Diceros bicornis minor: one gene and its partner. The protein of the gene in region 1 purifies or fractionates together with the protein of each later gene. This does not show direct contact. Links are inferred from orthologs where the notes say so. Each region holds a gene or a part of one and is shown on either strand. Other genes may lie near its edges.

What was found. The genes of interacting proteins can lie anywhere in the genome.
Region 2: the proteins of GNA13 (region 1) and ARHGEF11 purify together in Homo sapiens (affinity purification with western blotting; 3 studies listed by BioGRID). This does not show direct contact. The link is inferred for Diceros bicornis minor from reciprocal best matches to the Homo sapiens genes GNA13 and ARHGEF11.

The regions. Positions count from the first base shown.
Region 1 is NC_080757.1:49,822,606-49,830,507, forward strand, and holds the start of GNA13 (guanine nucleotide-binding protein subunit alpha-13), read left to right. Parts: upstream 1-4,819; 5' UTR 4,820-4,963; coding exon 4,964-5,246; intron 5,247-7,668; coding exon 7,669-7,895; intron 7,896-7,902. UniProt on the Homo sapiens protein: Guanine nucleotide-binding proteins (G proteins) are involved as modulators or transducers in various transmembrane signaling systems.
Region 2 is NC_080743.1:60,525,721-60,533,317, reverse strand, and holds the start of ARHGEF11 (rho guanine nucleotide exchange factor 11), read left to right. Parts: upstream 1-4,582; 5' UTR 4,583-5,960; coding exon 5,961-5,992; intron 5,993-7,597. UniProt on the Homo sapiens protein: May play a role in the regulation of RhoA GTPase by guanine nucleotide-binding alpha-12 (GNA12) and alpha-13 (GNA13). Acts as guanine nucleotide exchange factor (GEF) for RhoA GTPase and may act as GTPase-activating protein (GAP) for GNA12 and GNA13.

The DNA of each region.
Region 1 (7,902 bases):
GAACCCTTACTGTTTCTGGCAAGGGGCAGCCCATTTACGGGCAACAAAACATAAAAAGTATTTCTCATCTTTAAAAGCTGGAAGGGAAAATAAAGGAGAGAGACTGAGCAGGATGTTTTGAGTTTCTCAGAAAGAATCTCAGATTTACAGGCAAAGCCTTGTGTTTAGTGTTATATAAATAGATTGCCCATAAACGAGTCCGATGCAGTCAGCAAGGTGTAAGAGTTTATATACGCGTGCTGGTGTGTGTCTTTAAGATAGCACAGGCTTCTGACTTTGGATAAGCTGAGTGAAGTCACAGCTGGTCAACGGCAGCTCATGGATCTTTCTCAGAGGCTGAGAAAAATACAACCAGCAATTAAAGTCATGTTTTCCATTAATAATAATAACAAAAAACCCACCAACAATGCAATTCCACATGTCTAGTTTCATAAGAAACTTTCCACATGAGAGGCTTATTCTGGTAAGGGCACCATCAAACTTCATTACAAAAAAGGTGCCTTTTCATATCTAACTCACATTAAGGAAACGTCTGGGGCTTACACACCATGTAAATATTGCCATAAGCTTGGCTCTTCTTTTATTTCTGCATCAGCCACCTGGAACATTTTACAAACCAGAGGCTGAGCTCAAAGTACAGAATATCTTACCAGAATCAGTCTAAGAGCTGGTAAACTTGGAGATGGCAGTCAGTCCAAAAGGGGCTGGAAAAACAGACCAACCCACCAATCAACAAATAAACAAACAAAGAAAACTACTGGACTCTATGGTGACTCACAGTTAAGTACAGTTAGCTACTTGTTTCTTAAGTTTGAACTTCATACACGTGGGCATTAGGGGCCTAACCACCATTTTGGCAAATCAGAAAGAGCACTGGATTCAGAGTCAAAAGAGGGTGCTCTGTAATTGGCCAAGCTGAGTTAAACTTTTCTTCCTCTCAGCTTCCTCCTGTGTGATGGAAGCGAGGTTAATGATGGGTGTTCCTAGTCAGGCTACTGTGAGCAGAGAATGAGATAAAGTAGGTCAAAGTGCTTTGGGGCGTTTAAAACATTACACAAACGTAAGGGATTTGTATTACGGGAGGGCTAGGGAATTCCCTTTCTCTTCTAGTATGGAAAGGAAGGAAGATAGAAAAAAATCCATGCCTGTTTTATCTGTGAGAAAGGATTAGAATCCATCTATTTTATATGAAGATGAGATAGAGCAGAGTTGTGTAACAAGAATGCTGGATGTGTCATCATTCTTACTAGAAAATTAACACAAGGTTTAATAACATCAGTAATGTGACTGATTTTTAAGTAAACATATCCAAATGGGTGTTGTCCTATCCAGAGCAGTGAGCAGTCATCTTGGCAGGTGAAATACTTATTTAAATTATATTTCTCATGATTCAAAGAAAAATTTTTTTAACTCCTCTTTTGGAATTATTCCTAGAGCCTCTGGCACATTCTTTTGAATATGTCTGAGGGTGACAAATTTTTGTCTTTTGTGGCTAATACTGATTTCTGTAAACAGCCCAAAGTTATTTCGCATGAAGACAGTAAGTGACCTAAGCAACACCATTTTTTTTAATTGAAAAAAAGCTATGACTATAAGATAGGAAGCTGATCTTTCTTTCAGTTCAAACAGAAGAGTTAAAAGTAGTAGATTTCAAGAATTGGCAGTATTGTTGGGAATGGCTTGTTCCTTCCTAAGGTGACCACATCAGAGGAGAAAGGCCATTTGGAAATGTCCATTTCTACATTTTTAGTCACACATTCATTATTTATCTTGCAGGACTGTTTGCCATTAGATCTTGAGTTTCCAGAAAGAAAAGAGCATAGGAACAAATCAACCATTCAATCATTTTATCACAGCTCCTTGGGGCATCTGAAGCCCTCATTTGCACATGGATTAACTGGCTAGCAACAATACAGATGTTTCCAATGAATTAACAATGAGTCTACTGGAAATATAGCACTCAGCAGATCCAATAGACTCTCTACTCTCTTAAAAAGTTTGGATTTTTTTTTCAGTTATGAAACAACCTATCTGAAAATTAAAACATCACTAATATCATTACACTGTAACAATGCAACTGCTAGGGTAGATTTGCTTCTGGTGCAAATAATTTAAATTGTTAATGTTATTTCAAAATAAACACAATTGTACTTTCATTTATTGAATATTACACATTGTGGGTATTTCAATGTTAAATGATGTCAATGACATTGCTTTTATGGAAAATATTATTTTCCCTACCTCATTTTTTATTGTGGTAAAATTCACATAACATCAAATTCATCATTTGACCATTTTAAAGTGTACAGTTCAGGGGCATTTATGTTCTGCAACCACTACCACTATCTAGTTCCTAAACATCTTCACCACCCCAAAAAGAAACCCTGTACCCGTTAAGAAGTCACTCCCAATTCTTCTCTCCTCCTAACCCCTGGCAATTATTAATCTGTTGTTCCTATGGATTTATCTATTCTTGACATTTCATATAAACGGAACCTTACAATATGTTGCCTTTTATGTATGGCTTCTTTTGCTTAGCATAATGTTTTCAGCGTGCATCCATGTTGCAGCATGTATCAGCACTTATTTCTTCTTAGGGCTGAATAATTCCATTGTATAGATATACTACATTATGTTTATCTGTTCCTCCACTGATGCATATATGGGTTGTTCTCACCTTCTGGCTATTCTGAATAGTGCTGTCATGAACAGAGGTATATAATTTTTTGTTTGAACACCTGTTTTCAATTATTTTTGATATATACCCAGGAGTGGAATTGCTGGGTCATATGGCAATTCTATGTTTAACTTTCTGAGGAACCACCAAACCTCTAACTCATTTTTATGCTTACAATTTCAAGGTGGCCTGATTACCAGACAGTTAGAAGCATTTGTACTACTGTAGCCAAACCCCAGGCTGGGCCCAAAGAGGTCTCTTTTTCAGAAACGCTGATTAGAGCAGCTAGGCTTGATCCGAGCCAAGCTGTTCCAACACAAGGTTACGGGCAGGGCTTTGAACAGCTTTCTCTGCTGCTCTACATGTCACAGCATGAACTGGCTGGGCAGGAATATCTTCCTGCCTCCTAGGCATCCTTGGTTCTCCATTATGTTGCACACGCTTTGGGTGGAAAAAAAAAGATGTTAACTACCTAGCTTACAGGCTTCGCTCCTTCTCTTTTTGCAGAAGAGTTCAGATTAGCACCAGGAGTCCATGTAGGAATGGTGCTTCGGAGGCAATGCTACACCTCAGTTCTGAGCAGAGATTCGTCCTTTCATGATGGGAGAACAGGGCCTCCTGAACACTAGTTGAGACTAGAGAGAGATCTTCCATCCATCCGGGGTAGACTTGTACCATACATTTTGCTTGAAGGCACTGCCCAATGATTCTGACCCTATCAATCTATAGATACTGAAGTTGAACCTACCCTACTCTGTATGTTGTACATGGTCCACCCTATGGTCTTGGCCAGGACAACAGGAGATAATCTTACTACATGCATTGTTTACTGCAGCTAATTTACTGAGTCATGAGTCTCCTCAACCATTAACCCAACCCTGACAGTACACTGATGAGCACTGATTTTTTTTATTTAAACCTGTTCATGAGCCTCAGAATGCTGATCTCTTAGCTCCACTGCCTAACACATAGGTAGTTTCTGAGCTACAGGAGCTCAAATCAAGAAGTATTATGATTGCACTGCCAAAAACAGACATGGACCAAAACGGCTTTTTCCCCTTGAAACTAAATATTAAGAATGAAGAAGTTGGCTTCCGGGGCCCTTGCTAAGCAGTCTCTCTTCCAACTCAGCTGTCACTTGTCACTTGTCTCCTGGCAGCCCTTTCAGGTGTCCTGGCCTGAATCTGCTATTAGAACAGAAAAAAGTCCCTTGGCTGGTCATATCCTCTGTAATCTGGCAGGAAACCTAAAATTTGCCTGCTCCCGTCCTCGGTCTGTTTGCTTATCTGCTTCCTTGTAGGGAAGAGTCTGCATCACAGTGTCCGGTTCAGGGGGATTTTCACCATGACCTCACCCTCCTCCAGCTACCATCCACTGATTTCAGCGCGGCAGCTCGGGGATCCACATTAACAACCCCTCCTTGCCCATCTCAGATTAACATCAACTCGAGTTATTTCTCCTCAACGGAGGGTCTTTGCAGAGGTCTGAGAATGCCAAAAAGAGCTGGGGGCGGGGGGAGCTGGGGCGGAGATTGACGACGTTTGGTTATCATTCTGGGCTTGGGAGAGCAGGATGTCAAGGGAGCCACCTTAAGAAAACGCATCAGAAGTCTTCCAGGCTTGCGCCCACTGTTCGAATAACTTTCGATCCAATGGCCTCGAAGTAAGGCGCGCGAACGGTGACAGCAAGCGGCGGCGGGCACGTAACCCGGGTGTAAGAACGGCGGGAGCGGTTGGGAGGCCCAAACGGAGTGTCCGGGATCCGGTCTCCGGCCTCCAGAGCTCGGGGAAGTAGCCTTTCTGCCCCTAAGTGGGCGCAGCTCATTAAAGGTAAACAAAGTCGAGCTCCGCAGACTAAGAGCGCCCCCGACCTGGCGGGAGACCACGTGACCGCTCCTAGCGGGGGCCCCCCCCCCGCCCACCGCCCCCGCACGAGCCCGCCGGCGGCCGCGGGCACGCGAGCTAGAGCGTGGCTCGCCGGCCCAGAGCGGGAGGCGGGAGAGCGGGCGCGGCGTGCGTGCGCGCCCCCGGGAGGCAGCGAGCGCGCGCACGCCCCTGGGGCCACCGCCCCTCCCGGGCCCGCCCTCTTACCCTCCCTCCCCGCTCGCCTGGCCCGCCCTGCGCGGCCCGCCCTGCGAGTCAGTCGCTCGTTCCCTCCCTCCCCCGGCGCGCTCGGGCCGCCGCAGCGCTCCCCGCCCTCGAGCCGCGGAGCCGGAGCCGCCCGCCGCCCGAGGAGGAGGTGGAGGGAGCCGGAGGGGCCCGCCGAGGCGGCGGCGGCGGCGGCAAGATGGCGGACTTCCTGCCGTCGCGGTCCGTGCTGTCCGTGTGCTTCCCCGGCTGCGTGCTGACGAGCGGCGAGGCCGAGCAGCAGCGCAAGTCCAAGGAGATCGACAAATGCCTGTCCCGGGAGAAGACCTACGTGAAGCGACTGGTGAAGATCCTGCTACTGGGCGCGGGCGAGAGCGGCAAGTCCACCTTCCTGAAGCAGATGCGGATCATCCACGGGCAGGACTTCGACCAGCGTGCGCGCGAGGAGTTCCGCCCCACCATCTACAGCAACGTGATCAAAGGTGCCGGGCCGGGGTCGGGGGGCCGAGGGCGGGGGCCGGGGGCGGCCGGCGCGGGGCCGGGCACCGCCCTCGTTCGCTCTGTCCCTGGCGGAGGAGCGGGCCCGGCGAGCGGGCGGGAAGGGGGCGCGGCCAGGGCACCGTCCCGCCTGCCCGGGGTGCCGTCGCGCCCCAGGGAGAGGATGTCGGGGGGCCCCTCGCTTCGCCCTTCCCGTCGGAGTGGGGGTCACGGCCAGCCCCTTACCCCCCACCCCGCCGTTGGCCTCGCCCCCTCCGAGGGGGAAGTGAGGCGAGCCCGGTGCCCGGGCTCCGGGGCGACCTCTCCTGTCTTCTTCCCTCCAGACGAGGCGGGAAGACCCGAGAGCCAACCCCTGCACCCCCACCCCCTGCTCGGGCGCTGCCTGCCCAACCTCGCCGCCCCGGGTGGGTGACCCGAGTCAGATGGGGTCGGGTCTGCTCCCAACTCCCCGCTTCCTTGGCCGCCTCCTGAGCAAGGGATTTCTGGAACCGTTGCGATAAGAAAACTTTTGCCTGAGACTCTTGTCAAGGGCGAAGAGTGACAGGCCCTGGGGCATTTTTGGGCAAGGATGTGAAACTTGAGGGTGTCATGTTTACTGTGCTGGCATCAGGAAAGGGTAGACCCATACAGTTCGTCTGAAAAAATTAGCATCAGTGGTTTTTCGCCTCAGTGTCACGGTCGGGCAGGATGTTTGCCTGTAATCACTATGCAACACGTTCCACTCTCCTTTTTGCTTAATAACTGGGGGCGGGCGGAGGGGAGGGGGTACCCACCACTTGCTTCTACTATTTAAATGAAGTCGTGCTTTGATAGGAAGAATCTTTGGCCTAAAAGTGATGCGGAGCCTGTACAGGTTGAGTCAATGAATCGTCGGCTTGAATCATAGGCTCTGCTTCTGACAGTATTTTTAAAATTAAAGGTAAACTTTGTCCTTGAGTGAAAAGTTAACAAGAATTTTATGTCTGGGCTTTCAAAGAATTAGAGATGATGGTTTTTATTTTGTCATTTGAACAGTAATTAGAACTCATTTTTCTTAGTATCAGATGTTTTCTGCATAAAAGGCATTTTCGCAAAATTGAGATGCAGAGCCTGGTACTTCAGGTGCATCAGGATTCTTTTTATTTTATCTGGGTAGCAATTACTTAGGAGTTTGCTACAGATTTCGGGTGTTTTCAAGCAGTGTTTTTTTAAGTGGGATTCTTTTATTCTGGAAGTACTTAAGCAACTCCTTTGTGTGGCTTTTTTTTCTCCCAGGATTGGGTAGAGGAAAACTGCTTGGGCTGGGGGGAGTACTGGGGGGTAATGGAGGGGAGTAAAACACAGGGCCAGGAGTTCACAGACCACAGCTAGCTCTGAGCCCTAGTATCGCTGCAGTTAAGCTGTGCGAAAAGTTGTGCTTATCCTATCTTAATGTTGAGCACAAAACTAAGGTCCCTTTCAAGGCCGAAGACTCCGCCTTGCCAGTCTTTAATTGAAGGTACCTTTGTATCCTGATGCAGCTGATCTTATGGAATTATGTCAAAGAATAGAGTCAACATGTTAACTGATTATGAGCCAGGTAAACACCTGGTTCTTAATGTGCACTAGGTCCTAAGTGTGACCTACTTTGAGCATTGTTTGTGAGATGAAGTCACTAGACATCTACTTTTTTTGAGTTGGCATGATGAGAAAATTGACAGCAAAACAATTTTTCAGTTGTCCAAACAAATGACTTAATAGTCATGTGACTATTAAGATGGACCAAGGTAACAGTTTAGTGATAGAAATATTGAGTTTGAACTAATCTCTGTGAGTGGAAATCTCTCTCTCTTTTGCAGTTGATCTTCCTCCCTTTTAGGGAAATCGAAGGCCATCCTGTGACTTACACTGATTTGAAGCTTGGTATGAGAGAAGTGTTTGAGTTTTGAATGTGATCCTAGAAGACTCAGTGTTGGCTTATAAGCAGGGTGCTCAGGGAACAAACAGAACACAGCGATAATGTTTGGTTCTTGGCGTTTCATAAATAAATGTCTTTGAGAGGCTCATAAAATCTTGGTTGCAGCCGTTTTCTCCAGAGCCTGGACATCGGGCTATGCAGTATAATTTCTTTTTCCTTCACTAGTTTTAGTTCTCTTGTGACTACCTTCTACCCCAGAAGTTATTTTATAAATTAGAAATGTGAAAAGTCTTCAGAAAGAACAATTATGTTAATAGTATTTGCTTTTCAAGGCTCTAATTTTATGACTCTGAACAACTGTTAGTTTTTTTAAGCTCTGAGAAGTTATGGTGTTTGTTTTGATGTTGGTCTCCATTTTGGAGGTGGTGGGCCTGGAGCAGTTAAGAAGTTTAAGAAAATAATACTGGAATAGAATCTATGAGAATATCTAATGACTCCTATCACACTTTTTTTTTTCTTTTTAAACAAAGGTATGAGGGTGCTGGTAGATGCTCGAGAGAAGCTTCACATTCCTTGGGGAGATAACTCAAACCAGCTCAATGGAGATGTGATGATGGCATTTGACACGCGGTCCCCCATGGCGGCCCAGGGCATGGTGGAAACCCGGGTTTTTCTACAGTACCTTCCTGCTATAAGAGCCTTATGGGCCGACAGTGGCATACAGAATGCCTATGACCGGCGTCGAGAATTTCAGCTGGTGAGAG
Region 2 (7,597 bases), on another chromosome or scaffold:
TCTGAAAATATTAGGCTTCAATCTAAAACTGTTTTTTTTTCACACATTTTCCTTTACACTTTATCTTGGCATCTTCTTTGTTATTCAGTTTGTCTCAGCTACTAGGGGTGTTGATGGGAAAGAGTTGGTTTCTAAGGTACCCACAGACAGGAAGGTACCAAGCTTGGGAGGCTGGAGTGCACACCTGGGAGGTGACCCCACAGACAATGCGAACCTCCTCTCAGTGGGAGTTAAGGTGAGAAGCCTTTTCTCCACTAAATGCCTTGAGATCCTCAAAAGTGATGAGGGGCAAATTTCGGGGGGCGATATCTCAAGGAACACCGAGACGGGAGATGAAGAACTGACAGACTAAGGTAAAATTTGCTGGTCACTGCACCGTGGGAAAAATACCTGTCTAGAGGGCTGAGGAGTTAAATGGCTGACCTCTCCTTCCAGCTCCACTCTCCCTAATTTCTCCTCAACAAGCCCTGCCCCTCTTCTGTCTTTCTGAGAAGGTTCTGCCTGTGCATTGTTCCTTTGTTTTATCTTTGCCCCCAGTGCCTGGCATGGTGCCTATAACATAAGGCAGTACAGTTGACAGTTAAGCACAGACTCTGGGAACAGACTGCCTGGGTTCCCAGCTCTGTGACCCTAAGCAAGTTATTTTACCTCTCTGGGCCTGTTTCCCACTTGAAAATGGGGATAATAATAACTACCTCAAAATGGATCTAATGGTTAATACTTGCAGTTTGTTTAGAACAGTATTTACATAGTAAGCATTATATATGTTTTGGTATTATTATTGCTTCATACTAAAATTTTATTGGGAACTCAACAGGTTGAATGAACAGAATACTCTGAGTGACAATGAAATGATGTCTGTAACAGAGGTTTAATATTGGTTATTCTGGCTACCCAGAAGCATTCTAGAGAAATCTAAATCAGCAAAAAATAAACCATAAAATTTTCTCACCCTTAGGCTTAAATAATACCTTAATTAAGCAAGCCTCTCATCATCTTTCCAACTGACAAAGGTTGAAGAGGGATAAAAGATCTCCAATAAATAGTGGCACTATCCCTCCAGTGGTGATTTTATTTTGCTAGGCCTGTCCCCTAACAGCACCCTGGAAGGAGAATGACTGAAGCATGGAGTCCATCTCTCTAGAAGATACATCTGGTTTGGGCTGGGGATGTCTGTGCACGAATGTTTCTCTAGAACTCACACTGTGAGCCATCCAAGGTTCTCCATCACAACTCTCCCTCGGCTCTTCAATTAAGTATTAGGTTTCTAGAATCACTCTCAGCAAATCAAAGCTGACCATACCTGCTTTTTCCTTTGCTTCTCACACTTAAAAATGAGGATGTGTGAATTCTAGCTTCAATCTATCAATTAATGGGATTTCATGCAAATCACCTAAAACCTCTCTGTGCCATAGTTTCCTCCAGTGTAAATGAATTTAACATAACTTATGCCCTCTCTATCCCACAGGATGGTGGACAGAGGAAAGGATTCATTTATTAAGTTTTGTGGGGAAAGTTAAAAGGATTATGTCGATTCAAGATATTACTTCTTAACATTTATCCTGATTTCCCTGCCCAGCACTCTACAGTTTATAGAGCCCATGCTCGATCTCATTTAATGCTTACAATCTGCAAACAGTAGGTCACAAAGCTAGAAAGTGATACAGCCCAAACAAACTCAGTTCTTTGAACTCATAGTCTAGTGCTCTTTCCATTAACCAATAGCTGCTTCCAGATTCCTACCACCTAGATTGTCCTGGGTGCAATCTAATCTATTTTTTGTCCTAAACTGAGACTTGCAATTTGCTTAAATGGCCAGCTAACTTTAGGGAACTCTATCCTGCTAAAGCCACCCCCATCCCCATAGTCTTCAAAGTGGAGCATACAAAGAGACTCACTGGTGTGCAAGAGGAAAATATTTAAGAATGCCTTCACAATACTATTTAACTATGGCAAAAATAATTATTTAAGCTTTATTAATACTAATCTTTGACATATGGGCTGACCCAGCACTCTCACTGGGTCATCTGTCACAGGCAGTATGTGAGATGTTTCCAGGAACCAGTGGTAATGCCATCCACAGTTCAGACATTCATTTTCTTCATAATGTATGCCATCCACTGGACGAAAATAAGCCTGTTAATTGCTACAAACTTTACAATTCTTAATAAAGACAGGAGAATGACCATGAAAATCTTTGTTCTGCAGAGATTCATTGGTTATCTTCCGGGAAAGGCCTAAAAAGAGGTATTGAACATAGAGGAGATACACATTTTTATTTGACAATGTTCTGTGATGCGAAATGGCTAGAAAGAGTATACTATCTAGCCCTTATTTTCAAAAACAAAAACACACAATGACAACAACAACAATCCACTTAATCTGTTCCTTCAAGATGAAGATGACAGTCATTAAGTGAGAGAGTCATTGTTTTTCTAAAGAAACTCATCCTTATGGAGAAAGCATTTTGAAGATCCATGACTGGAAATGTTTCCAATATCGTGATTTTTTTTTGAATTACCAAAAACAATGTGTTTCACCTATAAAACTTTTGTCTGCATACTTGAAAAACTAGGAAACAGAATTTGAAAATCTGTTTTAAAAATCTAAATGAAGCTTCTTGGCGAGTTTGAACCCATTTGTTAAAAATATAAATGCAACACCTTCCAATCATTCAAGGACTGATTGATTTAAGATGTAAATTTACTAGTGGAATTTCAATTAAAAGTCTTTGCATCGTGGTTAATGGAACTGGAAAATGAGTAACATAATTTAATAAATGCAATCGAGGATGCTCTTCTTCTGCTTGAATCTACCTTTTTGATAAGCATCTTTTCCAGTTATAATAGTCATTAACTTTCATTAAAAAGCATGATTTAAAAAATGTACTTCATCTTTATTTCCATCTTTTAATATTTCTACTCTAGGGCATGTTTTATAAGGTACGTAATAAAATACATGTAAATAATTGTTTTAAAAATATTACACATATTAAGAAAGCATGACAAGAAAAATGTTTGGTGACCACTGGTCTATCAGCACAGAGGAAGTGTCCACATTTGGAAGCATCATTTTTGCAGGTAGTATAAACTATTTTGCAGGGACTAAACAAGAAAGACAGTAGCAATTTGGACTGTGGTGCTTCAGATGCCTGGCAGACCACCTGTCTTTCCCTCTGGCCTAGGGGTTGGAGATGGCAGGGAAGGCAGTAGGTCTGTCTTTTATGTGCCACCTTGTACCTGGTGTAATTTAGAGGAAGCTCCTGGTTCATTGTAAGTTCTCAAGTGATGCTTATTAGTTTCTTTTCCCTCTTGCTGTTTGCAAACCCACAACTTCTGCTAACACTGCTGGGGTCACTCAGCTCCTTCTACACTGCTTATGGATGTGCGTGGGGAAATATACATATACATATCATTTCCCCCAAGAACAATCAAGGTGGTGTGGAAGGGAGACAACATATGCAAACACACCACTGCCTGCAGAGTATTTCACAACAGCATTTACCTAGGCAAGAAGATAAAGTTCACTCCCCAGTCCTAAAGAAATAGTTTCCTTTTCATCTTAATTATTTTTAACCATAACGCTTGGGACCTTCTGACTAATGTCATGTTACTTGGAAAGATTTAGTAACTGTGATTCTATGAGAGGGGGTTATGAAAATAGAATTGTCCTTGAAAGGCTTTTCCATCGAGTTCAAAACCAGTTTACACAGCCTGGTATTAAGATGCCCAAACCAACCAGAGGGGGAAGAGTGAAGGGTCTCTTCCCCGATTGTTGGCGGGTGTTAGAAATGGGGAGGGCCACAGAACCGGGACGAAAAGAGCTCCTGACACCCAGGAAGGAGGCTGCGACAAATTTTTGAAAAATAAGATGAGACAAGAGGCGGAGACAGGGTGAGCAGTGGCGGTGGGAGAGCAGGGGTGATGCTGGTGAACGCCAAGACAGAAACCCATAAACATGGGGAGGGGGTCGGGGGCGCCGGGCACCGTAAGAGGGTGGGAAGGAGGCAAGAAACAAAGGTCGGGTCTTGAGCACAGGACAGTAAAAAGGGGGAAAGCAGCTAAGAGAAAGCGGCGAGAAGGAGGCAGCGGTGGTGACCACGGCGGGGGTGGCGCCCGGTGAGGCCGGGGTCGCCGGCCCGGCGGGCCGGGACAAGCCGGGGATCCGGCTGAGCCCGGGAGCAGCTAGGCCGCGCCGAGGGGCCGGGCCGGCGACTGTGGGGCCACGGAGGGGACCGGCCGAGGAGCGGCGGCGAGGGGCCGCAGCGGGGCAGAGCGCGCAGGGACGCCCGGAGCGGGGCCGGCGGGAGTAGCGGCCGCCAGACCCGACGGAGGGCCCAGCGGTCAGCTTCCCGCCCCCACCCCGCCGCGGCGTGAGGGGAAAGGCCGGCGGGCTGCGGCGCGCGGAGGAGGAGCCTGCGGCCCCGCCCCCGTCGGAGCGAGGGAAGGAGAAAGGCTCGCGGGGAAGGAGGGAGGGTGCGGGGAGGGGGCGGCCGGCCGGGCCTGCGCCCGAGCGAGCGGCGAGTGAGGGGGAAGGGGCCCGGAAGGAGGCGAGCGCGGCCGCGACGCCAGGAGCCGGACGGCCGCCCGTGCCGGCCTGCCGCCGCCGCCGCCTTCCCTGCGTGCGCCCGAGCCCGGAGTCCCGCGGCCGCGGAGGCCGGAGCGCGGCGGTCGGGCGTGGGGCGAGCGGGCGAGCGGGGCCGGGAGCCGGAGGCCGCCGGCGGTGCTGCGCGAGGCGCGGGGGGCTCCTGCCGGCGAGAGGAGGCAAGGGGCGGAGAGGGAGGAAAAAGAGGCCGAGAGAAGCCCGGCGGTCGGATTTTCCAGGAGGCTGGTGTGGAGGAAAATCCCACCGCGAACTCAAATCCACAATAATAATCCAAACTATTCATAATAGGGAAGCAGTTTTGCTGGCCGGGCGAGAGGGAGAGAAGGGGGAACGGCAGGAAGCGAAATCTCCGTTTCATGGAGGCTGAGGCGAGAGAAAATTTCGGAGCCTGGATGTGGAGGAGCAAAACAGAACTAACTCAGGAAATTGTCCTTCAGAAAAAGGCCGAACCTAGGCTGGGGCTGAGAATCTGGCTGATGTAGGTGGAGAAACCTGCCAAGTTTAAAGGAAAAAGAAAAGGAGAGGATATTTTCAGAGATTTTCTCTGGTTTGTGGTTATTGCTACCATTTTAAAGGTAGACAGCATTGCATTTCAGGTGCAAATTTTTTTTTTTCTCATGCGATTGGCTCGTTTAAGAATTTCAAAACCTTTAATGTAAAAGCTTTTTTTTTTTTTTTAAAGGAAATCCGTGATTTTGGTTCCCAGGGTTGCACTGAACTTGGAAGGAGTGCTGTTGTGTACATACTATTGTATAGTTTTATTTATTTATTTTTTTTACTGTGCAAATCAGCTGGAAGATTTTTTCCAAGTGCCAATTCGGATTTATTCATCCTTTTTTTTTTTTTTCTTCCCTCAAACATATCTGTTGTCGTTTTAAGCATTGGAGACCAGAGAATTTTTCCCCCCTTTGGAGCTTGAGGCTATCTTGCCAACAGAAGGACAGCTGGGAAAACTGGATTAAAAGGATGGTTTTTATCTGTATTTTGCAGTTAAGACTGATATTTTGAAGGCACATTCTTTCTGTGATTCATTTTTTCAGCCCATAGCACTAACCTTGAAGAGATTTGTGGTTGGGTTTTTGGTTTCTAAGGTCATAGTTTTTCCCCTTTTTTTTTTTTTCGTTTTTTTTTTTTTTTTAAGAGGGGGGTGAGGAAGGGGGGGCCAAGAAAGGAGACCATGTTAACTGGTAGAAGTAGAATGGAGCTTCAGTTACCAGGGTCCTGAGAGCTGAAGAAAAAGGATTCAGTTTTCAAGTTGGGAGGCCCTCCTCTCACCTTAAAAATTGCAAGCTATTCAATCCTGATCAAGACATCAGAACGACAGGATTCTGGAACTGTGGACACACCGAGAAACCATGAGTGTAAGGTTACCCCAGAGTATAGACAGGTAGGTTTGCTAATGTGGTTTTTCAACCCTTACTTAAGGAAAGACTGGGAGGGAGGGTGTTGAATTTTGATAAATGGTTGCAAAAGAAGGGTCTGAGTGGGCTGTGGGAATTGGTGGGGTAGGAGCATTGGTCTCTAGGGACTGCCTGGGCATGTGTGTTTATGTTCCCACTGTGTTGTGTCGGTGGTCAAAACATCTCTCCTGATTCAGTGTTTTTTTAAATACAAGCAATAGAGAGTGAAGCCAGGAGTGGGGAAAGATGGAGAAATGCTTCCAGCTGCCTTTGACTTTTGCCAGGCTAGAGGCTGAATTTGAGTCCCTAACTTGCCAGCCTAGGGGGTGGGAGGCGGGCGCAAGCCTGGTCACGTGAGCCCCAAGGGCGGATTGGGACTGGCTTTAGGTGTTGGAGCTGCAGGGGGAAGGGCCTTGGCAGGGGCATGGGCCTCCACTGGGCTGGTTGTTATGGAATGGTGGGGCTTGGTGATGGGGTGGATCCCATTTCTAGAATGAGAAGGATGTTCTTGGCCTGAATGATGGGACAGAAACACCCTTTGCGCCCATACGGGTCTGGATTTTTACCAGTGGCTGATAATGGCCTCAAGATGCGTAGGTCACATTAGAATTTCTTCCTCTCCAAGCTTAGAGTTTAAATTGAGACCTGCCAACCGGCTGATGCTCTCGGTTTAATCTTCCATGCCATTTTTCATAAGCTTGACTCGGCAGAATGGGCCTTCCCTCTGCCTAGAACCGGAAGGAGTTGTTTTGTGCTCCTCGGCCTGATGGGCAGAGGCACTGGCCCTTAGAGTCTGAGCACAGGATGCCCTTCCCCCACAAGAGTCTGCCCAGCCTCCCCATCACTGGTGACGCTACAGTTTACAACTTCGTAAGGTGTCTGCTTGTTCCCTCCCTCCCTTCCCCCTCCTCAACCCTTTCTCCTTGAGAATCTTGAGAGACAGTTGTTCCGTGGGTGCTGCACACATCGGAACTGGATAGATGGGTGGATGGAAGACTGAACCAGCAAGTGAAAGGACTGGGCCTGGAAAAAATATTATTGGAGAGAGAGGGAAGAATATTTGCAAGGGAGCAAATATTCTTTCTTCATGTCCAGTTAACCTTTGCTTATCCATGCTAATAATAATTTCTTTTTGGCTGTGGAATGTGGCCTAAAATGCATATAATCTCTCTCTCCCAAACACTAATCTCTGTATTGCCTCAGAGTCCTGTTTGGATTAGTTCAGCAGTATCCAGACGGGGACCTGACTTGGTAGTGGAGAGGAGAAGACAGACAGCCACAAAGGGCAGAAAGTATATGTGGCTGGTTCTAACCTCCATCTCTTCCCCTTTTTGTTGGCTTCTCTGTAGTTTGACTCTTGTGAAGGCAGACTGGGGGCATGTCAAGGCAAGGGATTGAAATGGTTACACGGCTGTTCTTCTTTTCATCGTCTTGGAGTTTGGGAATCAATGCACATGGCTTTTTGAGATCTGAATGGTGAACTATTTCTCTGGATTCAGGGATGTGAGAAGATGGAAACCCAGGTGTTGGGGGGTGCAAGAAGGAGGCAATGAGAGTTCCTGTGCTGACGCGGGATGCTCCTCTGGGAGTTT